2 linked regions of the Styela clava genome follow. The protein of the gene in region 2 purifies or fractionates together with the protein of the main gene of each other region. This does not show direct contact. Links are inferred from orthologs where the notes say so. Each region holds a gene or a part of one and is shown on either strand. Other genes may lie near its edges. The genes, in order: nudC domain-containing protein 1-like and pre-mRNA-splicing factor ATP-dependent RNA helicase PRP16-like.

Region 1 (16,313 bases), about 7.1 Mb from region 2:
AGTTCATATAATGTGAAGCCTTCCATTGCCATCTATAGGAATTTTTGATTTCTTTTTTCAGAGCATGTTTGAGCCAAGCACCAAAGCGAGATGACAAACATGAAAATTATGTTTTGGAATGGAGAAAAATGATGAACTTGTTGTGGTGCATGTAAGTTTGCTCAATACCTTGTACAGAATCTTTTATTTTGTAAATTTTTATCATGATTTGTGCTCTTTATAAGATTAGTAATGTGTTTCTCCTGAAATTCATATAAAATGTTTTTATCAGTAAAGTAAATACCTCGAGCATGCATGGTATTCTGCAAACCACTGTTTATAATGCAGTCATTCAGATTCCCAGTAAAATCACAAATACTATTGTCTTTTTAGTGTTCCTATTGGGTTGTTCTTTACATCGCTTCTAACTTACATATGGATGAATCATCTTAGCAAACCTGATCCTGTATTGGTGCCATATTACTCCACAGCTGCTCTTATTTTTGGTATTTCTGTTGTGATCGAACTACTCGCTGAACCACTGTTTATTTTTGCACAAGCATTGATGTTTGTACGACTGAGGGTATTATCAGAAGGAATACCCATGATTTTAAAATGTCTTACAACTGTCATATTAATTGTCCTGTTTCCGAAAATGGGCATTCTGGCTTTCTGTGTTGCACAGGTAAGTCACTTGTTTTTTGAATCTTAAAAACAGGTCAATGTAGGTCAGACTAGATGAATAATACTTTAACTCAGTGGTTCCCAAGCAATCTTTTTACAAATGACCCAAATTTTGAAAAAAATAAATAAAATTTGTAAAATCACGATCCAAGGATATGCTCAAATATTAAATGACATGTAGGGTTTTTATGGCTGCAAAATTAATTTAATAATACAACGCAATCATTTTACCTAACATTTATTTTACCAAAAATTACTTCAAAGTGCACTTGCTTGCCATCGTCGGCTTTTTGAAATTGTGGCATGACTTCACTTAGGCAGAATAGATGCTGCCATGTTTTTACACCGTGATATTTCCCACGTATACAATTACTAATGATTAACACTTCAATATCAAATATAAAATTTACTAGATAATAAAGTCAATAAAAATGAAGTGACCCAAGAATATTTTTAGCTGAATCTCGTTGAGGTCGTGACCCATCAACTGGGAAACACTGCCTTAGTTAATGATTACACTTATCTGCAATTGTGATATTGGTATATGGCTTTTTGATGAATAAATGTGTTGGTTATTTACAATGTGCATACTTTCACTGAATGGGATTTTAGTATGATGACGCCAAAGAAAATGCTAGAATGATAAAAGTTGAATTTATCACCAAATCTCATCAGAACAAGAGTGACCAAGTTAAATAAAATTATAAATCAGATTAAATAACCTAAACCAGGAGGTTCAAATCCAGGCCCGCGGGCCACATGTGGCCTGTCGCTTCATTATCTGTGGCCCGCGTCGCATTCGGGGAGGAATCAAAAATCGCATTTCGTGTTGTTTCGTCATAAAATTTACCAAAAAATCTTTTGACATATTGTTGCATCACTAATGTCACTGAATTGACTAGTGTTATGGCTTGCTGAGGCAACTAGCGAAGTTAAACGAGCAAAGTTCTTGGCACTATTGGGGCCCGCAAACAATGCAAAAGTAATTTTGTGGCCCGCGGAGCTGCCAATCTTGGACCACCCTGACCTAAACATTAATCATTGTGACCATACTTCAGATTCAAAATTAAACAAGTCACTTCAGACTCAAAATGTAAATGCGCTCATATTTCATTGGCACTACATATTATGTTGTCCACCTCTTACTCTTAGTCAGAATTTCATTACATATTTCCTAATAAAATAATCATAATTGCCCGATTGGCTCCAATTAACAACTTAGTTTCGTTTCTCATCTGTTTTTATGGTTTCTATTTTCAGATCATATTTTCAATTTCATATGTCTTCATTATTTATGGTTATTTTACCTGGTATATTTCCACTGAAAATTACAAGAAGTTTGATGATTTTCCATTTACAAGCATGATGCAATTCTTTCCTACTTCCACATTACCATCATCAGTAGATAGTGACACTGCAAGTTTGATATGGAGTTTTTTCAAACAGTCTGCACTGAAGCAAATATTAACTGAAGGTAACTGAATAATTAGTTATGTTCTAGGTGTTTTCACTTCACTCTGTTTTCTCAGAATAAGACTCTCAACAAGCAACCATTGTGACTTGTGAGGTGGTTAGCTTAGGAGTTGTGTCTGAGATCTGGAGACGAAACTTGATTTTTTAGTTTTGCAAATTCAATTTCATGGGCACTATGATCTTAATCATTAAAATTTGCATCAGAGAACTGTCACACAGTTTTGTGTCAATTTGTTTTTCAACTGGATCTACTTTATTCTGAAAGATTCTAATCAATTCAAACACATCAGCTGCTTTTTGACATCTCGTATCAGAGATTTATAGTAACAATAGTCTAAAGAAATGTTTTTGTTCAAGGAAATTGTTTTCCCAATTTTAGGGGAAAAGTATGTGATGACAATATTCAATGTACTAACATTTGGAGATCAAGGAGTTTATGATATTGTTAATAATCTAGGATCAATGGCAGCAAGGTATTTTCCGTTAAATGTGTTATTGGCTGTTGTTTTTTATCTAGTTTTAAACACTGAATTTGTCTTTCAGATTCATATTTTTACCAATTGAAGAAAGTTTTTATGTTTTCTTCGCTAAAATGTTAGAGAGAGGTGTTCCACTTCAGGCACAAAATCAGGTATGTTACTATGAAGAGGCGTCATAGGTACACAATCCCCAATCCTGTATTGGGGTCACACAATGTACAGGAACACACTTGGGTTTTCATAAAATAGAGGATTGCTGGACCTGGGTAACTTCTGCCCAGTTATGGCTTGTTCCATCACCAAAGTCTATGCAATTGCAATTATACCTAACCTGAACCATTTGTGAGTCTGCCATATGATTAAGCAGTTTTTATGAACGTTCTTTTCCATGGTATAGATATGAAAATCCTAATTCTAAGGATTACTTCCAATATAAAAGATCCCTTTTTTATTGCTGCAATAGTAAACTTGGGGTAACAGTAACACATCTCGTTTTCTCATGCATCACTCAATGTGGTCATATTCTGTACCTACAAATATTCTGTACCTACAGTATTTGTTGTATATGAGCTACTATAAAATATTGATGAAACAAATCATAAACATTTTATCAAATTTACTCTGTTTTACGTTAAATTAGAGTTTAGAGCAGTGGTCGGCAACCTTTTGTCACTCGCGGGCCAAACCGATGGCCGATGAATCACATTTTTTCACACAGGTCAGAAGTTAAATTTTAAGCAGAGCGCGAAGACTGACCATTTGAATATTTTCTGCTCTAATAAACCATTTACACTTAGCATCAACTTTTTTGCGTTTTGTTGCCATTTGTCTAATTATAATTAAATTATAGGCTCATTAAACGAGTAATTATGAATTATATACTTGTTAGGTTATAATATAATTTTGTCTACACATGTCTCATAATAAATTCTGTTACGTAAAGAATATAATTGTTAAAACAGCTGTTTTCTTACTATAATTCAGCAAAGCGCCGCGGGCCGGATTATATTGCTCAGCGGGCCGTAGGTTGCCGACCCCTGGTTTAGAGGATCATATTATTCATTGGTATAATCACATGTTGGGTGCCTACATAAACAAATATATATTTTGTTTCAAAGGAAAAAGTCAAACTAGTCCGGCACGTTCTGTTCTGTGTATTACGGCTTGTTGTTTTGATTGGACTCGTAATACTTGTGTTTGGATTCTCTTACTCCTACATATTTTTGCATCTATATGGAGGATCATTGCTAAGTGAAGGTAAAAACTTGAAATCTATGCATAATTAGCAATTCACTGATATGCATGCAAGGTTTTGAAGATATTTGTTACAGATTAGAATTGTCAGCTTGTATATATTATAAAAATACTAGATGCAAGATAGATGTTTTTCTACACAATTTATTTTCTTATTATTTTTCATACAGGTTCTGGTCCAGGGTTATTGAGGGTTTATTCCTTTTATGTATTATTGATTGCAATTAATGGAACAACTGAATGCTTTGTATTTGCTGCAATGAGCCAGAAAGATGTTGACAAGTGAGTTTGCAGAGAATTTTGATTATGGTATTTTTTCTGAAGGGAGAGAACATGACGAGCCATGGTCGCCTGTCCACCCACTCGTCCAAGTCAAAATATTTAACTACTGGTATTTACCCATATGTATGGATACTCGGTATTATGGGAGTTACAGCTACAGCACAGTCCAGCTATGGCTCGGCAAAGATTTTTTAATGGGTGCTTAACGCTTGAATTAAAACAGTGGGCCAAAGAAACAAGTTGTTACACCCTTTTTAAAAAGCTTAAAATTGCATGTCTTTATTAGCAAATACGCCTTTATGCATTGTGTGTAGCTCCAGAATATTTTGCATGTCCAATTTCAAATATCTACTAAACGTCGAAGATTTGAATGCCGGCGGTTTGGCGTGTTTTTTAAATGAAATCATGATGGTCATCCATGCACATTCTAGACCAGACATTTATGAACAAGGCTAGATCGCTGCGATTGAATATTTTGATATCCTATCACCTATGAAACATTTATGATATTAATTTTCAAGGTACAATCAAAAGATGTTGATATTTTCTCTCTTGTTCCTGACTTCTTCATATTACTTCACTATATATCTTGGATCAGTTGGATTTATTTTTGCAAATTGCTTGAACATGATTGTAAGAATAATACACAGCTTCTACTTCATAAAAAGGTGAGCAATCAATCTTTTTTATGAAAAAGATGATGGCATATTATGTTACGTCGTTCACTATATGGTGAATTGAACAGTTCTTGTGTATCTTTATATATCTAATTATCGTTTTGTACATAGTAAAATACTTTTCCCCATTAATTTTAGATATTTCAAAGGGCACAAGGGATTGGATCCTCTAACAGCATTGACACCTCACTGGTTTGTGGTGCAAACATTTGTTGCAGCATTCACCATATGCTGGTTGTCAGAAAATATATGCCACGGATTATCAATGATCTACTATGTAATTCACATAATAATAGGAGCAGCGTGCTTAGCAGGACTTCTATATGTATTGTACCTGGCGGAGGAAAAAGTGGTAGAGTTTTTAAAAGAGCAGTATTTTTCTAAGAAAAAGAAAGCTTAAAACACATGTCCATCACCTTATGGTTCACAATTACAATTTCCACGTAAACAATCATTTGTAGGAGTTTGTAGCAATCCATTTTTGCTTATGAATGAAATGCAGTACTTTTTTTGCACTAGAGTTTTCTATTTCGGCAAAATTGCAATACAGTAGATATGATTGATATTTGTTGTAGTGAATCTGACTGACAGTCATGTGTCTGGAGCAGTCACTTTAATTATAAAAATCTTAGCTCCTGTGAGCACGAACATAAGTTCAGAAGATGCATGAAATCCAAGTATCGGTTCATTGGAAGGCAATGAGACTACTTGCTGTTTCGAAACATGCATGCTTTTGCCTGTTTTTCGGTTTTTAAGGGGTGCCGCAGTTGTCGTTGGGCTGTGATAAACAAACACCCTGCTGCTGGATTCACATAATGCAGAATAAGAGGCATTCGGAGAGCATCCTGAATATTTTACATCTTCTTTAGATGCTCTCACGTACCCGAGTGCATTGAATGTTGCAACATGTTTCCAGGGACTGGAACAAGACTCACTGGGAGTGTCAGATTCCCATACTAAAGCGTCAATATCATGTCGCAGCACTGTACATAATTTATGATTATAGTAACAGTTAAATAGCCACTGATTACTTGCTATGCCTGCTTCATAAGTGAATTTGTTTTCTGTAGCATCAAACATGTACAGCATTGAATCCGCATCAGGCAAGTCATCACAATCCTCGTAGTGATCAAGGCCTGTAGGCTGAAAACCTCTTGCTTCTAAATCTGCCATTTCATCTTTTGTCTCCATGTCAACATCTTGATCTGCGTTGTTGGGAATCATCTGACCACTAGTGTCACCTAATATAACAATTGGCCAGTTTTGGCCTTCCAATTCTTTTGAGATTGTTACGGTCAAGGTTTGGCCCTCAACAGACCAGTTACTCGATTCATGGTCGACTTCGACAAATAGTTTCCCATCCAGAACATAACTAATCTTTCCTGTCGCATCCTTGAAACCAACAGTTAACTTACTTTTGGACAAGCCATATACAACAGAAGTTTTGTCTGCTCCTTCTGGCATAGGAATCATAACAGTTACATCTTCATCTGTTTGAGTCCATTTATACAGAGATTCTGAATTTTCTGGTGCGGAGTCCATTTTATCAGCAGCTTCTCCATTCTCAATCTCCATTTCTTCACTCAAAACCTGCTGTTCCCAATCAGTAGCATATTTCATTGGTGAATGTGACCCGATGAATAATTCTTTACCACTTTCACCCAAGGTGGCATAGAAAGGTGCTTGTTTCCCTTTGAACATTCTATGTTCGCCAATTTCAAATTTGGACTTTTCATCATATCGAAATAACCAAGTCCATTCCACAACAGCTTGTGATATCACGGCATCATCTTTCTTTTCATCCTGAAATCGTAAAGTCAAAATATCAATGACATCTTTTTTTCCATGATCTCCAGATTCAGGTTCTGCATCTTCAAAATGCTGCCGTGAACACAGAAGTACAGAAGGTTCCGAATTTTCACCTACTATGTTCCCACTTAATAAGATAGTCCATTTTGTTTTTTGAGTTGTATCAGTTTGCCGGTTCCCAGTATCAAGAAGATATACCAATCCTGCCCCATCAGATATCAAGCATAAATTAGCTGAGGGGAAAGATATTGTTACAGGCATATGCCTTTCAGTTTGTAAAAAATGAGATCCTAGTTGAAAAACTGATCGAGGTTGTCCTATTGAAGCCTCAACAATAACAGACAAACGTTTAATATGACCAGCTTTATCCACAAAATAGCATTCTTTTTCATTCCATGGATCGCCAAATAAGTAGTTGTGAAGGGAGAGAACCTTTGTTCGATTGTATGAGAAATCGTCATTAGCCAAAGTTACCGTATCTAATTCACAGTCTGGATTTACATGATACACCGGCAATTGCTGTAGAGACAGCTTATATGATTCAAAAGTAGAATCCAATAAATTCCAGTCAGGACGCAAATTAATATTTTTGGCATCCATTTTATGATAATTTTACACTGAAGAGCACTAAAAATATATCATAATTGCACTGATAACCAAACCTTACAATCGTGAGGAATTTGACAAAATCAAGCAAGTGGTCATCGAAAATTGTGTGACTAAATGTGAACACTGATAAAAAACGATGAATGAGAATATACACTTGCAGATAGTTAAATTAGGTAACATTTATCATCGTAGCGAAATATGATACAACATATCCTTTTAAAATTCAATATCCAGGATTTGGAGCACACCTTCATGTAAACAACATGCAGACATGGCATAAAATAGTCAATCATAAAAAGAAGTACAGTGCATAGCCAAAAATTGATATTATTTCTTCCTATTAAAAATTTACATCACTAGAATTTTTTAAAAAACTAATAGAAACTTTCAATTTTGAGGACAAAATTTTCAGATTCGTTCGAATGTCGTTCATATATTTTGAATATTTTTCATCCTCTGGTGAGAGGGTTATAAACTCGTTTATAAGCGAGATTGTGTTTTTCAACTTTAATGTAAGTTTACTTTGGTCGGGAGAAGATTTAAAATTATTTGAGTTTGCACTACTCGATAAATTTTTCAGCTGCATAATGTATGTTTCACAAAATCCCAGATAAAAAACAATTTCTCCAGCTGTCAAACGTCCTTGGTTCAATCCTGTTGAAAAACCTTCCAGCTTTCCAACTCTGGATCCGTGCGCTATTCCTTCTACATACCCACGATCTCTTTCGCGTGAATCACCGAAAAGAATTACATCAAACTCGTCTTCCATTTCTGACTCCACCGCGATAGTCCAGGTAAAATAAAATTTTGTTTCTACAAAGCAACTGCAGCACGCGTGGCGTCACGTAGGCAATAAGTGGCAGCATACATCGAAGAGGTGACATGAAAACAAAAATCGTTTACTTATTGGACACGTAGTGGACATAACGATCGTTTCAATGTTATGTTGTTCTTGTTGTTTGACACAGAATAACACACCTAGTAGAAATATTAAAAAACCGCTTTTCTCTTCGAATACTGGACCAATTGCTTTGAAATTTTCAGTGGTTGGAGATAAAAATTTTCCCAATTTTAAATATTTCTGTTAGCTCTGTGAGATTTGTTTTCGTTCTGTGGACATCGGACGCCATTTTGTGTCCTACTGTACTGCTTCGCTTGGTGCACTGACATTAAACAACATGATGCGCAACTACGGCATTTTTGGCCGAAGATCGTATCCGATAGCACGCTCCAATGCACATACTTGACGAGACGAAAACGAGCGGATGTGTGCTGCTTTCAAGGCATAGCACGAATGGTGTTCGTGCCGGCTTTGACAGTTGTTGTCGATTTTATTGATATTTTGGAAAGTTGAGGTTGTTGTATACCACATCCGGGCATCGCACTGTTAAGTACTTGTGGGAAAGCCAGCTTTTGTCAAATACTACGAAGTTAATAATTCAGTACGGTACGTAGTTGCCCATTTGCCAAAATTGCATATTTACTTACCTCTTATGGTTTCAAATAGTTCATGCACCTCCATTTAGATTTTTTTTAATCAGTGAGGATTGAATCAAAGGGTTAACAAGTTCACCTAACATTTCACTCATACCGGTCTATATTGTATAGTCTGATCTCTCAAGTATATGGAGCCACGAATGCTTGTAATTTTCTGACTAAATTCCTTTATTAGTTGGTTTATATACCAAATTCAATATAACATTTTTTACATTAAACATGAGATGTTGGCCTTATTAGCTTTTCCATTCTAAATCATATAGACTGCTTCATTTATTCTTGACGAAAATTAATAAATCTCCTCTCCTTCTTCAGATGTGAATCTGGACAAACCTGTTTAAGCATTGTGAAACTCCTGCAGCACAAGAGGCAATAGCAAAAATAGTAAGTATATCAATCAAGAAATTAAGCCGACATAAAGCAAAAGTTTCAACTATTCGTCTGATCTCAATTTCCTATTATTTATTCACAGGACAACTATAGCAGAAGGGGAGATATCAGAAGTCTGGCGACATATCAGTGACCGTGTGATTCCAAGAAATATAATTAGAGTACTCCATAAATTTTTGCAATAGAAAAACAACCTATGGAGGCATGCAAAGACATTTGACCCTCCGGTAGAGTTGTGTAAGGCCCCCACACCCTGCAGGGCTAGAAAATAACAAAAAATTCAAAAGCGTGAGCTTGCATAAGCGGTCCTATTTGTAAAAAGGCACAAAACACGCCAGACATACTTATAACAGCTACACCTGTGTTATATTGGTTCATCAACTTTTGGTAGTACTATAGAAGAAATTCAGGAAAGGGTATATTCATGATAAAATACTGTTATATATATTTTGGACAACTTCAATCTAGACCAGGGATGTCAAACTCGCGGCCCCAGAGAACTTCCAGTGCGGCCCTCGAACGCTTAGCAATAATTGTAATAGTATTTTGGAAGTTTTTTTTTCTATCTAAATGTAATAGATTTTTCAAACCTTTTAAAGTGAAATTGATTATTCACACAGAAAACAAGTTACTGAAAGTAGTTTTGGAAAATTAATTTTTTTTTGTTCACATTTTGACCCAATTAAGAATACACATCAAGCTAGCAAAAGAATACTTGAATAAAACACTTGAGTGATTAAATTAAACGCAAAGTACATGAAGAAGGTGGCATTTTCAAAGAAAATGAGAGTTGCAATATTTCTGCATTTCACAAAATTCTGAAGCACATTGTTTAATTTGTCATATTTCCATCAATACAATGAAAAAACACAATAAGCTCAGCAGTCAATATGACAAATTCGAAGAGCAACTTTGAACAGAAAATTTTCATGTGTTTGTATATTAATATAATTATACAACGACTTAGTTACTAAAAATCGATATCAATAATAATTCAAGCAATCCTATGCCACGCAATGTGGTGCGAAATGTCTTGTCGAAAAAATCTGTCATGTGTTTTTTTACTGATCTATACATGAAATTATAAAAATAACTTTTTTGCATTATTGGAATTAATTTTCGCAAAGATCCAGATTAGCTCATGATCATGTGACCTCGTTAGTTAGAGTTGGTACTATAAAATCATTTCAGCCTGGCCTTAGTATGCTGGTGACACAAAAAAGATACAAAACGTCAGGACAAATGTAATTAAAAAACATTGAGTTTATACTGTAGTATTTTTGTTAATTTTAGGTTCATATATTTAAATTAAGTCATTTTTAGTGTATGTATTATTCTTTCCTTATCCAAAGTTTGTTCAAAAATGATTTTGATGGATGTACAGAGAATTTCATGATTTTTTGTAATAAATACAGTAACTTGCAATAATAGTGGAATGCAAATATTAATATGTAATTGCATTTGAAATTAAAGAAAATAATGAAACTTAATGCAACTGTTTAGTTGCATCACAACATATGTCACAAACTAAAACTATCTTAAAAATATCTTTCAAGTATACATTATCAAAAACTGTTTGCGGCCCTTATTACAATTTCCAAAATGCAATGCGGCTCTCGAAAACCCATGGGTTTGACACCACTGATCTATTCTAGACGATTCAAGCATTGCTTTGGGAAATAATATCACTTCAATTAAATTGAAAAAAATCTTGCTATATTAAATACAAAAACGTTGCTATCATAGAGGGAAACTAATTCGGCCACTCGAAATATATTGGCCTTCACAAAGCAATGGAGGCAAAATTAAGAGTTCATGAACTATGAACTTTTGTTCTTTTCTTTGTCTTGAACTTTTCATACTCCACAGCCGCTATTAATTTTTTTTTAATTTTAAATACCATGTGATGGTCATACATATCTTTAACTTGGATTTTCTGATGATGTGTCAAACTATTAATTAGTGTGCATATTTTGCTTCCAGATGACATAAATGTATTGTCCTGTTTATTACCTCAGCTTGGAGTATTGACAAAAAAGAGGTGCCAGTAAATTACGTAACTTTTTTTTAACTCTTTGTTATAATCAGAATTCACAATTAATAGGAATTATAAACAGCCAACAACCAATGAGAATTATATGCGAAATCCCTCAGAATAAATTTGTCTTCTAAAATCGGAGGAAAGCAAAAACATATAGGTAGTTTCCATTCACACAAGTCTTTCAAGAAGACTTGCTCGAGCCAAACTAAATGAGCATGGTCAGGTGATCGGTAAGGCTGCAAGTTGAATCCAGCCCTGCAACCTCCTGCATAGAAGATAATATTAATTAGTGGGCTATGAGCTGAATTCCTAAATTTAAACAAACCTATCTACGAGGCATTATGTACCAGCAATGTTACCTACGATTAACTGAATATGTAATATGTCTAATTAATTCACCTACAAAAACAAGTTCGATAGGTGCAAACTTTACGTTATGGAATTGTATCACAGCACCGTTAGGAGAAGTAAAAACAGTTTTGCTGTCCTGTATGACACCCTCTTTAAATGAAATTTCAATGTTTAAGCGCAAACATTAAAATTACTAACTTTGAAATTTGTTATTATCTGCAAAATGTTCCACACAAATCTTTCCGCTATCGCGTTTGTAATCTTCTCTGATAAAAAACGTCTATGATGTCCAGAATTGCTCTTTACAGCTTGTCTGCCATTCCAGCTTTCCAAGTGAGTAAAACTTCTTAGATATAGAGATTATTTTCTTTCGTTACAGTCGCAAAAAGGCAGGTACTACACGTAAAGAAGACGCCGAGTAGCAAAAGCGAGCTGAAAACGGTCGCGACAGGCGACGAGAAATATGTGCATTGGAGCGTATCATGAAATACAATCTTTCGCTTGTAGTCTTACGGAGTGACGTCAGAGTTGCCTATCATGTTGTTTAATGTCATTGCTTGGTGTGAATATATTTGTAGACTGTGATCTGACGGTACGGTAAACCGTACTGCGAACAGACGTCTCCATATATTTGGGCGTAGCTCTCTTGTTCTACTCTCAGCGGATTTTAAAACCTTTAAAATTATCCGTCCATAGATAAACATACGCAACGGAGCCTATTTACCGGTACCCGTAACGAACTGATTTGAAACAAAATTACGGTAACGAACTAATTTTAATAGAAGCTTGGCCTTTTCGGATCTGGTGTTGAGTGCAGTTGAGGTTTAGGCTTAATTCAAATTACACTCGCTTCTCGGTTCAAATTACACTATTGGCTCGGCGGTTTGGCGCATCGTGCTAAGCGTTAGGAATACGCTCGCCTCCGCATCTCTGATTACCCTTCGAATCCCATGCGGGGATGATCATGTGCGAAAGGATTGCTGGACTCCTCGCCGCCGTAGGGTGGTTCACGTAACCGCTGGTCGGTTACGGCTTCCTCCACCATCAAGCCCATGCTTCCGAAAACAAATAACTCGCTAACTAATCCCATACCCGACCTAGACTGGTAACCGGGCGAGTGGCCGTGGTTCGCCATATGATTAAGCCGTCTTATCGGCTTTCCTCTCCCCTGGATAAATATGTAAATCCTATCCTACACAATGATCATTTTATCTTTCAATGAGTTATGCAGCAGTAATTGGAAATCAGTCTAAGGTTTTTTTCTTATTAATAAAAGATTATATGGACTGACAGTTCCCGCTTCTAGAAGCATCAATTTTTTTCGCATTTATAAACATTTTTACGCTATATCCTCTATTCCAGTGATTTCCAAACTTTTTTTTTTGCGCCCCCAATTTTCATAAAATCAAAGCCTACAAATACTCGCGACCCCACAACTAGAAACGTATCGACTGCAAGTAGACGTTGACGGTGAACATTGGCACAAAAAATATATGAACGAGTCCGGCAATGCGCCGGAAAAACCTCAGAAGATTTGATAACACATGAAATCGTATGAAAACCACGGTGTAATAATCTGTTATATCAGAATTATAACGGTTCTTTGACGAAACATAGATGTACTTGATAAAATGTGGTAGATTGTAAGGACGCGTACGATATTCGGAAATCGTAAGATTGTTCTCTTATTTAGTATATTCCAACAGCGTCTTTATTATTTTCAGTTCTATATTAACATATTACAGATTGCTCAAATATTAATTCGAAAGTAAAACAGAGCATGAATGTGAAATAGGAAAAAGCGTGTATTGAATCACATATTTCAAGTGCCTTTATTAAAGCTAGGACTTGTGGTTTTGTGTTTGACTGCTCGGAACGCTTCGTAATTTTATGTGAAACGTCTAAATACGTAATATTGCAATACGAAAATGTTCACCATGTGGAGGCGGTGTGGACAAAACACGTAGCCTACTCGTAGATTTTAGACACGTGCGCGAATTAACAAAGCGCTTTCGCATCGGATCGAAACCTAGAGGTTAATAATTACTTGGTCAAGACCCCGCCTGTCAACCAATACCACACTTACCAAACACCTGATTAAGGTCCAATCGCCGGATAAAGTAATTTATTTTGTATTTTCGGTAACCAAGCGGCTACACTGGTACATAATCACAAATCAACATGATTTCTCGCAGCCTGGCAAAAACCCGATTCGCGTACCATCGGGTCAACTACTCATAGGGATGTAACATGATCAAAAAGCTATAAAAAGGAAAATATAATTGGCGCTCGTACCATGGTCATTCAATTACTTTTACTAATACCGTTATCTGCCGGCCAGCTGGAAAAGTATCGCATGAAAGTTCTACCGAGCAATTTTGGCGCCGTTTGGACAATAAATTGTCGAGTTATTGCTGAAAAATCCAAAGTTAGGTACTTTTACGGTATCTGCCGACCAGTACAAATTTGATTTTCCAACTTTAAAATCCTAGTCACTTGTGTTCGCATGTTTGCAAGAAATTAGGCGACCCCGGAAAATCTTCACGCGACCCCATCGGGGGTCGCGACCCACAGTTTGGGAACCACTGCTCTATTCAACAGTTTGCCATGCATAAACAATTTCCTCCATTGTTACACAAATGACGAAACTGTGTTTCCTTTTTTTTTTTAATCGAAGAAACCGTAAATATATACTATTATATTTACGTAGTATATATTTACGGTTAAATCATAAATTTACGGTTAAACGTAACCACTGCTCTATTCAACAGTTTGCCATGCATAAACAATTTCCTCCAATGTTACACAAATGACGAAACTGTGGTACATTTTTTTAAATCGGGGAAACCGTAAATATATACTACTACGGTTGAACCGTAGTAGTATATATTTACGGTTAAACCATATACAAGGAAGTCCTCGGGTTACGACTTACGCTGTTTCGAGGTTACGAACATATACAGATATAAAAGATAATACTGTAGCCTACTGTAATATCTAAGCCTATAAACTGGATCATTGTGATCAAGAAAATCAGTGCTCTGGGCTCATTGGTTTTTGTTATTTACATCGTAAATGACGTGACCAATTGCGAACTATTACGATTGTGAACGAATAATCACTAAGCTACAGTCACATGGTACAGTACACAGTTCCAGTGATATAGTACTGTACACAGTTCAGTGATACTGTACGTTATTTTGGTTGTTCAAGCCGTTTTTTTCGTAACTTGTTTGATCGTTTTTTTTTTACTTTTGCCCTTTGTTATGGACTCAAAGCAAAAAAAAGATGTTAAGATACTGTACAGTGTTTGCTTTTATTCACGTGATGTGGAATTGTTTTCTGTTTTTCTAATAAAGTTCTTATTTGCATTATTTGTACATTTTATTAGTTGGTGTACAGCAGTGGTATTCAACCTTTTTCAGTTCGCGGACCGGTAAAATTTCAAAACAAATTTTGCGGACCGGCGGACCTTCAAAATTAACCAAAAATGTCATGAACACAAAACATAATTAAAAGAATGCAATTACGACAAAAGTAGGCGGTGCAAAAGAAGACAATCCAATTTAATGAAGAATTTGATGTTATACGTGTTAAATCCGGTTCTAATGAAGTTTCTGCAAGGCGAGTAGAGCGTTGACTTCCAAGCGATTTCGTTAGCTTTGCGGGTTTTCATTGCGTCGTTTAAATGAATTTTTGCACAGACTAGGCACCTGGGAAGTGGTACTTTTTCGCTGCTGGGAACAATAGTAAACCTAACTCCAAATTTTTGCTATCATATTGCCTAATAAAGTCTTTCTTTCGTTTTTCTTGCTTGGTTCTGCGTGATCCACATCAACATTGCTGCAAGCGAACTTGGAACGCCAAGCAATAAACACAACCGCGTATATTGTTACGTAACAATAACATAGCGTTGTGAATACCTGATATTTGACAATTCGTTTAAAATATTCGATTCGATAAAACTATTCGATTCGATAAAACTATTCGACTTTGCCCACCTTGGCGATCTGTAACCACGCCAGTAATCTGGCAAAACGCTTGGTAGCCCAAACACTGGTGCAATGAAATAAAACTTTCATTAAATTTAGTGAATTGCACTACTTCGCGAAAGCGTGATGGAATTAACGATTATTTTATATCTCGAACACAAAAATGTTTATCTTTTTTGCATAGTTTCTGTGGTCTGATAAGTCGGATAAGCGTTTCGACATACTACATGCTATGATCTTTGCCATCAAATTATGCTCGGGCCTTGCACAAAATTCATGACGTGAAAAAATATGTCCACTGTTTAAAATTGTGTATAACAACTTTAAACCTATTTAGTGTTTTTAGGGATAATAATTATTTGTTGTAATGAAATACAATTCGTTTGCCTCTTCCACTTCTCTCGACACTGGGAGAAACATATTAAATTACAAGAGAGCTATGCTCAAATATATGGACACGTAGAGTCACATAATTTTGATGACGTCATAGCGAAAAAAAAGTAATAGCCTTCTGAAGAAAATTTTTATCTTTAACCACTAAAAATTTCAAAGCAATTGGTCCAGTATTCAAAGAGAAAAGCGACTTTTTAAAAACGTGTCAAGCGGTACTGAGTTAGCAGTCAGGCAGCATCTTACCTGTACACTGTAGGCCATATACGGTAATTGATCACAGAACAGTTGTTCCCTTGCAAATTTTATATTGTTTACACTTTAGGACAGATAATTGATCACAGAACAATTCTTCCCTTTCAAATTTTATGTTGTTTCCAGTAGACTCTCATCAAAACAAGAGAGC
Region 2 (16,102 bases):
CTATCCTACAACTTAACTCAAAAAAGGCGACAGCAAAACAAAATCTGGCACGAAAGCAGCACAATAATTCCTGAATGTGGCATAATGTTACTATGGATATGCGCAACCATGCGTATACAATTCAATAAAATTTGAATTCTCCAAATTACATTACTTATGTGTTTGATAAATATTACAGAAAATATATAGTAATTAAAAATATACAGAACAGTAATTAAAATAATAATAAATTTTCAACAACCTTCTGCCCTGAACGGATTTGTTCCTGTCGCTTTTCGTCTGCTTGTTACCCACCCGTAACATACAGATGACGTCGCTCGATATGATTTTTCGTTCCGCTGGTCGCAAACCGTTTTGAGATGGGGCAGCACCACTGTAGAATATTTTGCTTCATATTTTTGGATTTGGTATAAATTTAGTATCCGAATACAATTTTTCAAAAAGCCGAACGCTGATTCACTAATTATTACTTAATAATCCATTGGATAATTAGCTACCGCTGCTCAGTTGCTTGCTGCAATATATGAATACTAATGACAGAAAGATAAAATGGAAATGATTCAACCCAATCCTGCATAGTACTGGTAACAGTTTACTTAATGGCCTAACATTGACAGATACTGCAGTGTCTCAACGTTGGAACTAGGTTAGGTCTCAATATATCCTTTTATGCAATGTCGGAATTTATTGTTATAAATCATCATTAAACAACTTCAAATGATTTTCACTTGTACATAGTTTAAATATTTCGTTTGTATTTGAAACAGCATAGTTGAAGTGTATTGTAAGTTAAGGCAGTAAGGTTTGTTTTGCAGTTTTCATGCACAGTCATACCGTACTTTCTCTCCAGCAAATTGAAGCATTTCTTGACCATTACATGCAAAGATGTGGTTTTTGTGGCTCTTAAGCTGGTTTTCTATACTTTTACAAATATTGTTTGTTACCTTGTCCATAGGTAAGTTGCAATTTTTGTTCTCATAATAAATCTAAAATAATCTGTGACAGATATTATTTGTGTTATAATCATGAGTCAACATTCTGACATTCTATCACTCGTCAACAATGTCGAGTCATATTTTGAACAGTTGTTTATTTTTTATTGACATTACCACTTCTAGAATTTTGGGCTTCTTACTGCCTTCATGAATTTAATTCACTGCACTATGAGAAATCAAACTGGTGTATTGCCAACCTTTTAACTATTAAATCTGAGTCATAATTGTAATTAATAAAACAGCCACATTTTGTTATTATTTCAGCTGCTGCATTGTATTATTTGGCTGAACTTATTGAAGAATACACAGTTATAACAGAGAAAATTTTAAGAGTAATGCTCATGGTAAAGTAGTTATATGTCTTTCCTCTTATTTTAGCTTTATATGCCATCATATTTTTTATGGCCTTATTATATCTCTATAGGAACTCCCTGATATATTTTATATTAACTATATCATACTGAAATTTGTAGATCACATTCACAAGATATATTTCCTTGTGAAAGTGATACATTTGATAGCCAGCAATTTCTATCGAGTCTATGTTGTTGTTTTTTTGCTTTGAAACAAATCCTCCGAAATGTTGTTACTGCGTATCCATTGAAGTCTGATAGAACTCACCTAATGGTATTTCATATTCAAATTAATATATCCGTTCGGAAAATTCTGAAATGTTACATTTTTGTCATTTGTATTGCTGATTCGAATTTTACCAAATGGCCTGGCCCACTGAAAAGATGTGAAATTCATGCGATATTGGCGCACAATAAGCTCATTAAAAAATGTAGCAATGATGTTACGGGAAACAAATAAATAAAAAGCACAAATATAACACTCAATTTTAACGGAAGCGAAAAGTACGTGTAAACTCGTGTTTTTGTCAGAAATCTGCGAGTCCGTTGTGCAATCCAATCGTTTGATTCAGCGCGATTGACGTGCTGTGTCCAATTCACATATTACCAGGTATTCTGATAGTTTGCTGTTCGAATATTTTGCCCAGCCCTCAGTAATTATTGACTCGATTAATATTATGTGAATAAACTTGCCTTTTATGTCTTATGTAAATACTAACATAAATCGTAACTTGGCTTGTACTTTAAGTATGGTAAAAAGGTTTTCGCCCCGCAATGAATTTCGCGATACTGAAAAGGTTAGTGACCTACATTAAATATACTACTACATAATTTTCCAATTTGGTCGTTGCGGACTCATTCGAACGCTCTGCGGACTCATTTGAGATCGCGAACTCGGGTTGGGAAACACTGATGTAAACACAAACTGTATCAAATTTCTGTATTATTTTACACAAGAAGAATGCTTTGCACAAAAGTTATGTACTCTCTACAATATTTTTCTAATGACATGGGTTCTGTTTTTTCAAATAATCTGAAAAGCTTTCAACATTTAGTGAGCGTCTCAGTACGTAAGTTGATTAATTCATTTAATTATTTTTCAGGTTTCATGTGGGATTTACATTGGGTTATGGATTTTTGAAGGTTTTCCATTCACAATCATTGTACTTGGATTATTTACAAATGTTGTCGAATTTGGATTACTCCGAACATTTCCTTTTATCGAAATGTCTTCACCGAACTTTATTCTCACTGTTGTATTAGTTGTTGTCAATCATTACTTTGCCTTTCAATTTTTTAGCGATGTCTTTTACTCGTTTGCAGAGGTAATTTACACCTTATTTATTTATCTTTTTCCAGCCCTTATTACATGTGAATGTTTTCCTATTTTGAATTCCCCAATTTTTATATATAGAGGATAACAAAGCCAACAAGACTGCTTAATCATATGGTGTACCACGGCCTCTCGTCTGGTTGCCAGTCAATGTAGGGCCGTGTTTTTCAACCGGGGTGCAGCGGCACACCGGTGTGCCGTAAAATATTGTCAGGGGTGCCGTGGGAAATTCTCCAATTTGTATGTCTATGCGGCTATGCACAGGATTTGGACCGCAGATCCACTCAGGGTAATCAGAGGTGCAAACAATTAGAATGATGTGGCGATATTTGAGATTTAAATATGGTTAATATGCTTTTTTATTCACAGATTATGGCATTCTTCACACTATGTTTGTGGGTGATACCATTTACTTTCTTCATATCACTATCAGCTGGTGACAATGTACTGCCATCAACTGTGCAACCTTTGCTAAGCGAATCTTCAGGTAATTGAAATTTATGAATTAAAATATTTATATATACTTTACTGAGCATAGGTCGCTCACTTTTTTTGTATATTTTTTCCAGATCACGATGTTCTGTCTCATTATATGACAAAGGGAAAAAAGAAAAGATCTGTCCTTCTCACCTTTGCAGAGGGCTGTAAAAATATGGTAATTCCATCACGAGCCAAGCGATACTGATTATCTAGCTAACATTTCTGCGAAGCAGTCATGATTATTAAGTTTGGAGTAGATTAGGGCATAGAGCTTTGAATCACAATTGGTGAAGCAAAAGTGTTTGTTCCACTTGTTGACTTTTTACTTTGGTTTTTATTGCTTAATTAAAATTACGTATGATTTTTTTGTGTTTCTACTAATAAACCTATGATACACAACTAATTTTTTGATCTCAGATAAAGTATACTTAGGCTCGATGTGCGCTTCCAATTTTGAATATGGTGTACTGAGCTGCTTTTAGGTTACTCTGTGTCGATGCCCAAATCATCAAATAAGAGAGCGATGCTCAAATATATGGACAGGAAGCGGTACAGTTATGCAATCTGTCACAGTAGCCAACAGTACTGTATCACAGCTGAATCGTAACAGGGAATTTTCGATGATGTCATCACACCCGTAGGAGCCAAAAAAATTTTTTGACATAGGTAAAACCCTCCTAGTGAAAAATTCAGAGCAATTGGTCCATTAATTAATCAAGATTGAGAAGAAATACTAACATGATGATTACCAGCAAAAAACGACCCACTTTGTGTGTCCAATAAAAAAATTTCAGGACATTTTTGAACCGCCTAATTTGTTATTTTGTGTAAGGCCATTTCCCATTTTTATCACTTGTCAAAGGCAGATGCTGGACATAGGAAATCAAAATCATTTGACGGTGAAAGGTAAAAAGGTTTCATTGACCAATCTTTGTGATGTATGGTAATAACTATCAGCCTGTCAATTGTTTCAGATACATGAAACTGGTACATAATTGATGTATTATTACACACGACTTAGTTCTAACCCGATAACACAGTCAACACTCAACAGCCAAGCTTGTTCCTGAGTAGCGATTATTGAACAGTCTGCTTTGTGTAATTATTGCATGTAGCATTTAGAAACATGCACTACACAGGCAGGCCACAAATAAGACTGAATGTTCTCAATAGAATTTTATTGGTGTACAAAAAAATGATTGAGGAAGTTTAGAAATACTACAGGGGAGTGGAACAAGACTAGTAGTGTTGACAGATTTGAAATTCAAATACCAAATCTGGGAGTACGTCTTGGTGTAGCTGGTGTCGCAACTCCATCTTTTCTACCCGGTGTCGCAATAACCAAACGTTTTGATGTCTTTTGTATTTGTTCATCTTCCTCCTGCTTGCGATTTTTAACTTGTTCGTTAGCAAGATAGAGTTCTTCTTCCATTTCTGACATTTTATCTCTTGCTGCTCTCTTCCTTTCTTTCCTGGAAGCTGCAGTTTCTTTTACACTATAAAACATGGGACCCAGTTCTGCGAGCCATTCGCCTTCGACGGATGTTACACATTGCATATATTCCTTCGATGTCATGACAAGTTCATGGTAGATAATGTAATCAGGGGTGAATCCCATTCCAAATAATGCTGACGTTGGATGTAAATGGCACGGCATACCTGTCCTTATATTAACATATTCACCAATGCCTTTCAATCTAGCGGCATGGTGGAAGTATGCTGCACAAATGCATTTGCGAATAACATCCCAATCATTACCAGCAGAGACCAATCTCATTTTTTGTTGGTCCATAATTTCTTTGAGCTGAGATCTTACTTCCCTGACTTTTCGCATTGCTTTTGCATGAACAAAATGTTCATTAGCCCAAGTTGTGGAATACCTATTCGTTTTCCATTGTTGATAGACGTTTAAAAATGTCATATGGTCACTTTCTGGGACATTGAATTTTTCCCTTTTGGTATCACTGTCTTCCTCTCGTCCCTTCGGCCTGTAGAAAATAGATGGGACAGAAAGCATGGAAACAATGATTAAAACTTCAGCACTGCAGCCCATTTCACAGGACACGATCAACATTTTTGACAATGGGGGATCAAGAGGAAATTCTACCATTGTACGACCACATGTCGTTAGCGCACCTGTATTATCTAGGGCCCCTAATATCCATAATTGATACATAGAGTTTAAAATATTATCCTGTGGCGGTGGGTCCATAAAATGGAATGACAAGAGGTCTTGTACACCGAGTGATTTTAGTAACAAAACAACATTTGCAAGGTTAGTTCTTTGAATCTCAGGAACAGCTGATGCAAGCATTTCATGTTTGTATTGGTTCAGAGTAAATAGCCTGTAGCAAGTCCCAGCACCTGTCCTTCCAGCTCTACCAGATCTTTGATTTGCATTGGCTTGTGAGACTGGGTATATTGACAGAGCATCCATACCTATGCGAGGATTGAAAACCTTCATTTTACAATATCCACAGTCAATGACATACATAATTCCATCAACAGTTAATGATGTTTCTGCAATATTGGTGGCAACGATGCATTTCCGAATTCCTTCAGGGGCTTTTTGAAATATTTTTGCCTGCAAATCTGAAGGCAATTGAGAGTATATCGGTAAAACTGCCAGAACAGCAACATCTTCAATTTCATTTAAACTTTCTGTCAATTGTTCGCAAGTTACTTCAATATCCTCTTGACCGGGCATAAATATAAGTATATCGCCTTGAAAACCTTGTACATGGATTTGGAGAGCTTGCTTTACAGCTGATTCAACATAATCCTCCACAACATTTTTACTATAAAGGATATCAACGGGGAAAGTTCTACCAGGAATAGTAAAACAAGGAACATTACCAAAAAACTGAGCAAATTTATTCGCATCCATAGTAGCCGATGTTACAATAAGCTTGAGATCGTGTCGACGTGCTGCTACGTCACGTAGCAATCCGAACAACACATCTGTATTCAGAGACCTTTCATGAGCTTCGTCCATAATAACACAACTATACGTATCAAGATCACTGTCTCTTAACGACTCACGAAGCAAAATACCATCAGTCATATATTTGATGAGTGTTTTATCACTCGTGACATCCTCAAATCGAATCGCATACCCAACTTCCTCTCCCAGCTTGACACCCATTTCTTCACTGACCCGCTTTGCAACTGACATTGCAGCAACACGACGTGGTTGGGTACAAGCAATGGCCCCATGTGAAGAATATCCCGCTTCATGTAAATACTGTGTGAGCTGTGTCGTTTTACCGGAACCAGTTTCACCCACTATAATTACAATATTATTTTCTCGAATAATTCCTAAGATTTCCTCTTTAATTGCATATATTGGTAAATATTGTCTTTGTTCCAACATAGTCTTGGATTTAGCAAATTCACTCATTGCTTCATTTTTTTCATTCATATGATTAGCAAATCTTTGCTGAGATTTGAAATCGCTTTCCTCAGATTCTGATGGGTCTTCACCATCATCTTTCTTTTTAACTCCCATGATATTTCCTATATTCGTCCCAGCTAGTTCCCATTCTTTCTTCTGTGCTTTCTTTCGCTCTTTCATTTCTCGGTGCTTTCGAACTGTGAGGCTACCTTTTCGTGATACAATAGCCATGTCTGACGTAACATCTTTTACAGGAATAACAGGTTCAAACTGTTTAGTAAATACAATTCTTCCATCTAGAAACGGAGGAACGATATTATGAACAAGAAGATGAACTCTAGCTGCATTGTCTTCTTCAAAATCTTCATCATAGTGAGTTTGTAAAACAACACCACTACGCATCATACGATTCGTTTCCCATTTTTCATTGTCTTCATTAATTTGTTTTCGTTGTGCAGATATTTTCTCTCTTTTTTGAGTCTTCATATGCTGCTCTCGTTTTTGCACATATTCATCTGAAGCATTAGCAAATGGATTATGTGTTTCATCATACCCCTCGTCCATCATGTACCAATCTCTATCAGCTTGCTTATCTACGTCATCCCAATCTCCGCCATCACTGTCATCACGCTCACCATCTCGTTTTGGAGTTTCTTTGAAGCGTTTTCTATCATCTGCCCATTCATTGTAACGATGAGCTGGTGTTTGTAATGGTGTCTCCAATGTTCTAGGACGCCTTGAACTAGTCGGACGATGGGACCTTTCAGATCTATAATATGATGGGGCTGGCGATGGTGATTCCCATGATCGCCGTGAACCGTATCCTGACTCCTCCTCCTCCCAAGTACTTCTGGAAGGGGTTTGCATGCGACGATCAGACTTATAATGCCTAGGAGTGCGATCATCTCTCTTTTCTCGCTTTCTACTGTCGTCTTTCCTTTCGCTCGAACGACCCTTATCATGACGTTTCTTATCACTTGAAGTGGTATACCCTTCTCTTTTTCGTTTTTCCTCACGATTTTTTGCTTTTTCTTTATATGAATCACTTACACCACCGGTATACGAAGGTGTTTCAACTCTGGCTGGCCGATAATTTCTTCCATGATAATTTGTTGCCCCCTTTTCTTTGTTATACTTTTGATCGGCAAGTTTATCGAGTCCCAGCAATGAAGGCTTTTTGAAAACATGCTGCTCTTTGCTAGAGTGCTTATCCTTTTTTACAATTAATCCAAAAACTTTTCCACTGTTGTTTGTCCCCTCAAGTCGATGAATGCTTTCGTCATCATTGTCATCCATTATAAGTGTCTAATAACTGTATTGTACAATCGAAGATAAGAGGGTTAATATCTGCAACATGGATATAACTATATATAGTCTATATTGTTTTAATGTAAACAATTTTGTACAAACAGTTTTGTATACTTCACCCTAACCTCTGTTACCACACCCACCCACCCTCCTTGCACAACTATCTGTATAAAGGACCATATTATACATATCAGAAGGGGTGTATGCCGCACATTCGTGTTTTAGGCCAGTATGGTCTTGTGCATACATCCCGTCTTCAGTATTTATAATTACTAATTCTTTTATATTGCTTTTACGAGACGAATAAACATATATACATACATTTTTATATTTATCTCTGGGACAGTAAAGTTCAATAAAACGGCTTAATCATATTGTTGCATGGTAAAATACGGCACTCAATTAGCTTATCAGGAAAATGACAAAACTAAATTTTAGACTGTAGTCTATTTTGGGGGACATACATCCAAAACAAATAACGGGTCTAGCGAAGTATGGTAATCTGTACGGTAACTCCTCAAATATCGCCAAACAAAAATGTGACGTGAAAATATGCGCAGCGGTGTGGCTCATTGTGCTAGGCGTTAGGGATACGCTCGCCACCGCACCCCAGATTACTCTGCGTGGATTCGCAGGTTCGAATCCCATGCGGCAGTGCGAGGATGGTTATGTGCAAGAGGATTGCTGAACTTCAAGCCGCCGTAGGGTGGTTCACATAAACGCTGGTCGGTTACGGCTCCCTCCACCATCAAGTCGGGCCTGGTATAGTTTAGTACCACATGCACTTCTAGTTGGTATGGCTCAACAATTTTTGCATATGTTCATCCTAACCCCCACCTTACCGAAAAATTACGTTTTTTCGACGTCACAGTGGCGTAATAAGGGGCAACCCTAAAATGCGGGAAACGGGAACTACGGGAAATGCACTAAAATGCGGGAACTACGGGAACTATGGGAAATTTCACTAAAAAGAGGGAAATTTCACAAAAAGCGGGAATGACGGAAAATCGCTTTAAGGTACGGGAAATATTCATTTTGGGGTATGTTTAGGGGAAATTGTTCTAGAAAGCGAAAGCAATGGTTAATATACACTTGGGGGTGTATGTACGTGAAAATTTATCTAAAATGCGGGAACGACGGCAAATCGCGTTAAAGTACGGGAAATACTCATTTCAGAGTATGTTTAGAAGAAATTGCACTAGAAAATGGAAGCAACGGGAAATATACGCTTGGGTTGTGTGGACAGAGAAATTTCACTAATAAGCGAAAAATTTCACAAAGAGTGGGAGTGACGGGAAATCGCTCTAAGATTCGGATAATATGTATGTTAGTACAATTACCCCGTACAGGACAACACTAAAAGGCTGAAGGAAGAAACGGATGAAGTGGCGGAAAAACGGAAGTTGAAGTGTTCCCAAAGGTGAAATATTAAAAAACACTAAAAGGCTGAACACTAAAACGAAGAAGTGGAAGAAATTTCTTCCGAGGTGGCTGAAGTCACTAAAAAGCTGAACACTAAAAGGAAGAAGTGGATGAAATTTCTTCCGACGAATAATGAGGTGGTTGAAGTCACTAAAAAGCTGAACACTAAAAAAAGAAGTGGATGAAAATTCTTCCGACGAATAATGAGGTGGTTGAAGTCACTAAAAAGCTGAACACTAAAAGGAAGAAGTGGATGAAATTTCTTCCGACGAATAATGAGGTGGTTGAAGTCACTAAAAAGCTGAACACTAAAAGAAAGAAGTGGATGAAATTTCTTTGGACGAGGGTTATTGTGGTTGAAGTCACTAAAAAGCTGAACACTAAAAGGAAAAAGTGGATGAAATTTCTTCCGACTGGTGTTGATGTGGTTGAAGTCACTAAAAAGCTGAAAACTAAAAGGACGAAGTGGATGAAATTTCTTCCGACGGATAGTGAAGAAAATTTAATATATTAGTTTAATATTTATGAGACAATGGATTCGTTTTATGTTACTTTTTTATATATGGTATGCTCAGTTCGAGCCTGGCGAATATTGAAGGCCATGACATTCTCGTTATAATGTTTTTAATTTTGATGTAATGTGCAAGCAAATTGCTATATATATATACTCATTTCTAGTTACTGCCGTATAATGGATTTGTTGCGCCACATTGGGTGGGTTACGGCGAGGCATGTTTTGCAAATAGATATCTTGTTTTTCAAGACGCGTGAAGCTGATTTTGTTATCAAATCAATTTTTCCAATCAACTAACCTTGTAATTTATAATATGTTTGTGACCCACCTCAAAATGGCTCTGAGGCTTACCAGTGGGCCATGACACATTGGTTAAGAACCAGTGGTCTAACAGGACTTCAATTTGACTAATACATCATTATTTAAAGTCTTCGTGCGTGAACTGCTTGCAAAATTTTAAAAACAGATATTAAGTTAACAGAGTTAAGAGGAATGAAATACGGAATCAAAAATTAATTATATTCGGGCACAATACCACGGCAATCTATGTACATAGATGTGTGGTCAACTGCGCGATTGTTATTTATTTTTTGATTCCTATTTTCGTATTTACAAAATACAACGGTGATCCATAGACTTAAATGTGTGGTAAACTGTCCGATTATAATTAATTCCATATTCATAATTTCGTAATGATAAAATAATGAAAGATATATATGCGGACACTGAAGTGCCCGAATATAATTAATTTTTCATTCGTGTTTACGTACTCACGAAAAAATTGTCGCAAGTCAGAAATATAATTTATACTTTATCCCGCTTTTTGGCAAATAATTTGGATAATGGTTGGTATTCAAACTTTACTAGGATGATTTTGTGTTGCGCAAAATGTTCAAATCCATGACCGATAGCTCTATTTTAAATGCTTGTCGTATTAATTTAATTCTGATAACGTAACTCATGGTATATGAAAATATATAGCAATAATCTGCAATCATGAAATGCATGGTAGACAACATGTTGTTGATAACAGTTATTTCATTGTTTATTGTATGCAAATTCCTTTATATAGGCTACTATAGATAAGCCTCAATTACTTTATTTTATTTTCGAATGTATTCGAAATTTCATATTTGAAAATAATATAATAAATAGTGAACTATTCGGTGTTGACCAACCATCCCCTTAGGACTGAGGCAATTTGATGCAATTCAATTGTGAAAATAAGCGCAGGAAACAATTCTATTGTACCATCCAAAACAGTGCTGCAACAGTAACAGAATTGGTTCCCGCAGTCCCACCCCAGAATATGTGACTGTGGTATTTCACTTATTGTTATATTAAATTAAGGCTGGACTCATTACAGATTTATTATCTCCAAAATATTAGTACATAATTTGTGACTCTGGGTTATACATAAAGGAAAACTTTGTACACACAGATCTTTGTCATCTCTGTGATATATGGGCTCATTATTGCGATAGAGCTTGCTAAACAAGGAGATACCGAGCATATATTCATGCTAGCAGCATAGTGTAACAAGACAAAGACATTTTATTTGCAACTGGCTTACAATAAATAAGAAATGCTTTCAGGAATTTGCTCGAACACAAAAAAGTAATTAACCCATTCAAAATAAACCTCCAACCGAGAACGATTAGGAGAAAATGCTACATTTCTTTTATGATTACTGCTGCAAGAAGTGTTCTACCACGTGTTCCCTCATTTCGTTTACCGCCACTCAAATGGAGGTACAACAAATGGGAATAAAATAGCATAAATATAAATGTCAGAATAAAAAACATGATCGTCAATTAACATGCCCGGCGAATGAACTTGTTCAGTAATAGTTCTCTTCAAATATATACGCGAAATATTTCACTCTCAACGGAGTTTAAATTAAATTTCAATCAAAATTAAATGTTTTCTAGAAGTCGGTATCTGATCGTTTATCAATTCATGTCAAGGCGTACCATAACTTAGTCGCAGAGAAGGTGTGCTGTTGCAAATTATTAACAAAATTGAAACGAAATTTCGGGTACACGATCCATTTAAATTTGCGTGTGATAGAAACCTAGGTCATTCAGTGGAAAACTCAACTGAAGGAAATTAATGTAAAGTTGTAAGTTGGTTTATCGGTTGATTCATATGAAAAAGGGATTATTGATAGCAAGCCGGGAAACGTCCGGTTTTCAGTAAATCGTTCAAGAATATAGCACATTGACGTTGAAAAAGTCATAAGAATTTATCTCTCACTGCAAATGTCGCCAAATTGCATTTCAAAAAATGTTGAAAGTTTTGGGAAGGGCCCATGGAATTTGGTTTCATCACATATAGTTGCATCATTGTTAAGTGTATTTCACTATCTGTTGTTCGGAACAATTCAATTCGATCGTACAACTTTACAATATATGAAAATTTTGCATTACAATCCATTGCGTTCCTATTTGATCTCTGAGGGTATTCGGTTAATTCCACTAAAGTACCTTTAAAGAGAATTAGAAGGAAGATTCAGATTATAGGGAGCATTAAACCTGTACTTGCATAAGACAATATTGGGCAACACCCTTCACACAAATAAAACAGCACTGTAATGATGCTAAGTTAACAGGAAATATCAATTCACTGAATAACAAAAATATACAAGTAACACTCGTAATAAATTACGTAAAACAAAGGAAGACGGTTTAGATCGCCAGCTAAAAAACAGCTAAATACATATTATTTATTTTTTACGCGATGCTCTTACTCTTCCGATCTCCCCATCATTTGTCAATACGTTCGCTTTTGCCGTCATCGCCATCAATTACCGTTGTTCCCGTCATCGCCGCTTATTTAGAGAATTTCCCTTATACCCACCCAATTTTTAGTGAAATTTCCCACAATATCACATAGTTCCTACTTATGAGTAATATTTTCCGTAATTTCCGCTTTTTTAATACAATTTCTTGTACCTACACATTCAAGTGTATATTTCCCGTTGCTCTCGCCTTCTAGTACAATTTCCCGTACATACACAATAAAATGCCCATTTCCCCCATCTTAGAGCAATTTCCCGTCATTCCCACTTTGTGTGAAATTCCCCGCTATTTGGTGAAAATTCCCCCTTACTAAAATGCGGGAAACGGGAACGACGGGAAATGCACTAAAAAACGGGAATTGCGGGAACGACGGGAATTTGTCAATTTGAAATTGCGGGAACTACGGGAAATTTCACAAAAGACGGGAATGACGGGAATTTGCTTTAAGGTATGAGAAATATTATTTTAGAGTATGTGTGAGGTAAATTTTTACTGAAGGGCGAAAGTAACGGCAAGTTTATACAGTGCTCCCGAGTATGTTCATCAAGATGGCGCACAACCTGAACCAAGTATGTGTACCAGGTTAAATCTCAGGTAGTGCGCCATTTTGTTGCAAATACATCCGAAGTGTCGTTTATTAAGGGTGCATGTACGTAGTAATCGTACTATAATACATATTTCCTTTATCTTCGAGCGATTTTCCGTCATTCCCGCTTTTTGTAACATTTTCCCGCTTGTTAGTAACTTTTCCCGTCATTTCCGTTCCCCGCAATTTAGGGCCCTAAAAGTTTTTTCGATTCCATAATCAGCAATAGACGATAAAATAATAGATAAAAATAAAAGTAACTGATTATAGAATCGGGATAGCGAACAATGACAAGCTCAAAAAATTGACACACCGTTTCGAACGGCTTAAATCGTGACTTGTGAATTTGTCACTGTGTTACTTTGCGTAATTGAACGTAATTAAACTAGGCCTACAGCATCACCATTTTTCGGCAGCGAGTGTTCTTTGATACATATATCTGTAGGAAAAGCACATATATACACGTCTCACATTTTAATTTGAATTTACAAGATATTGCCCGATATCACATTGTGTTTTTGTTTTATTGTGTTTTGACTGTTTTGGGGGGACGGGCACGTACTTGTACGTATTTAACTTTATTATTAAGTTATGCCCGTCCTCCAGGTCCTCTGAATTTTGTTTGCCCTTTGTACCTTTTATAGGTGCCGCTGCTCGATAACCAGTATTGGTTTCTCGCGTCTCCTTCACCCTGAAATATGGCCAATTTATAATTTAATTTATTGCAATTTGTATGTTTGTGCCTATTTTAAGTATGGTGAGAAATAAACTACTGATTACTGATTACCCTTTGTTGATGTTTTGTTTTTTGTTTGTATCAGAGTGACCAAATAAAATTGATTGATTGATTGATTGACTTCTGCCGATGCCAACTTCGTCAAATTACCGTCATTCGATAGAGGGCGTTAACAATGTATATAAAAAAAATTAGACTGATCGAGAGATATCGCACGAGATTCGAGAAAAAAATTAAATTTGAAATATCTTTTTCTTGAAGAATAATAGCATCTGACGCACTCGTTGAACTTGACGACGTCATGTTGCGTCGCCGTTACAGATTTGACGCCAGACATTCCGGCGCCGACGAGTGAGTAGATTTCAAATTGCAACGATATTTTGTTTGATTGGATCAAGATCGGTTAAAATAAATACACTAACAGTTTTCATTGTGTCAAATGTTGAAAATGTAATTCAACTAAATTTATTATAAATGACAATGAATGTTTAATAAATTTAACGAAATTATTTAAATGGAAGTTGCCAATTGCTGAATCGGTGTTTAGGTGTGATTTATGCACGACTGTCATTTGAATTGGTCAATTTGATGAAGGATCCGGCCCCATGCAAGCTTAATGATATTTACCGTTCGACTAGTCTTATTTCAATTCATTCAAGTGTTCTTGGTCAGCATTTAAAAGAATTTTTGAAGGATAGGATTTACATATTCATCCCGGAGGAGAGGAAAGCCGATAAGACGGCCTAACCATATGGCGAACCACGGCCTCTCGTCCGGTTACCATTCCATGTCGGGTATGGGAATAATTAGTTATATGTTTTTTTTTTTTCGGAAGCATAGACTTGATGGTAGAGGAAGCCGTAACCGACCAGCGGTTACGTGAACCACCCTACGGCGGCGAGGAGTCCAGCAATCCCCTCGCACATGATCCTCGCCGCACGGGATTCGAACCTGCGAACCCACGAAGAGTAATCAGAGATGCGGTGGCGAGCGTACTCCTAACGCTTAGCACGATGCGCCACACCGCCGAGCATTTTTTTACCAAAAAGTTTCCCACAGGTCTAATTTTTTTTATATACTAAATCATTTCCTTTCCATGTTCTTCTAAGGTGTTTCTGTTCTTTTTTTTTATATTTGAGGAGAAAAAGACGAAAAATTCACACCTCCAGTGGTGAAACACTCGCATTTTGTGTTTGTACTTAACAATTCTTAGCTTATAGCGCATACTACTGTCGAGGCGGTAAACGAATAAGATGTGCAGTAATGGTCTGAGCGGTCAACAGCCCCCATGCGCTCTGTGTAGTCACAGATCACCAGGGGCGTTTCAAAGTCTTCCTGCTGCCCTCCTCTTATTACTCGTGAAACAGTCTTCACATCTGCAATATGCCAGGTGCTGAGCATAAGCACAGTACGCTTGTCGTGCCAACCTAAAGCTATTAGCATCTTGCTGGAGTGTCGGTAAACTTTTGTTTCATGGGTTTTCAAGCGCGAGCGTTTGAGATCCTCTGGAAGACTTTTACGATTTTTTGAACGGCTCCAGTTGTATGCATTCCCTTTTCTAGAAGCTTCACCGCCAATGTTGGGCTGGTATAAAATCTATCAGTGTAGATGTGATATCCTGCCCCTCGAGTTTTGAGTTGCCATCTAATCCACCAAATGCATTACGATTCTGGTAGTAAACTGCTCTCCAGGCGTTTTTCTAATATTTTTCCACACATTCTTTCTATTCTATCCCAATACAATAACAGGTAAATGCTTGTGTCAACTTAATGCCTCTTTTTAACAGTATTTACAAACTACAATAACGGTCAAATGCCATTCAAACAGTTAACGACTCAGTTTTTATATCAGTATTTAGAAATACAATAACTGTTAAATGTCACTCAACAAGGTTATTACTGTGCACTTATCAGCCTACCTCGCATTGGCTAGAATTTCACCAAACCCGAAGTTCGTGCCGGGTCGGTCCTAAAATGTCAATCATTACGTTCGAGTCCGGTCGGGTCGGGCTTCTCCATTGCTGATTTTTTTTTAAATGAGGCGTTTCGGCCGTGTTTTGACCACGAGAGACCGTGGTCTGCAAAAAAAAAAGAAGTTGCCCCATCAATACGACACATACTGTACCAAACTCTTGCAATGGCAATTCAAAGAACTCATAAATAAAATATGAAATTTCGGTT

What was found.
Region 1: the proteins of pre-mRNA-splicing factor ATP-dependent RNA helicase PRP16-like (region 2) and nudC domain-containing protein 1-like purify together in Homo sapiens (co-immunoprecipitation; 3 studies listed by BioGRID and IntAct, with this or other methods). This does not show direct contact. The link is inferred for Styela clava from reciprocal best matches to the Homo sapiens genes DHX38 and NUDCD1.

Annotation. Positions count from the first base shown.
Region 1 is NC_135256.1:18,143,390-18,159,702, forward strand, and holds nudC domain-containing protein 1-like, read right to left. Parts: upstream 8,305-16,313; 5' UTR 7,238-8,304; coding exon 5,420-7,237; 3' UTR 5,229-5,419; coding exon of another isoform or gene 4,967-5,228; 3' UTR 4,820-4,966; downstream 1-4,819. Other genes in the region: man(5)GlcNAc(2)-PP-dolichol translocation protein RFT1-like, read left to right, coding at 62-151, 373-664, 1,924-2,137, 2,516-2,609, 2,680-2,767, 3,734-3,872, 4,040-4,151, 4,673-4,819 and 1 more.
Region 2 is NC_135256.1:11,008,976-11,025,077, reverse strand, and holds pre-mRNA-splicing factor ATP-dependent RNA helicase PRP16-like, read right to left. Parts: upstream 7,888-16,102; 5' UTR 7,852-7,887; coding exon 4,426-7,851; 3' UTR 4,323-4,425; downstream 1-4,322. Other genes in the region: protein TEX261-like, read left to right, coding at 886-955, 1,260-1,339, 2,452-2,673, 3,051-3,168, 3,251-3,366. UniProt on the Homo sapiens protein: Probable ATP-binding RNA helicase. Involved in pre-mRNA splicing as component of the spliceosome.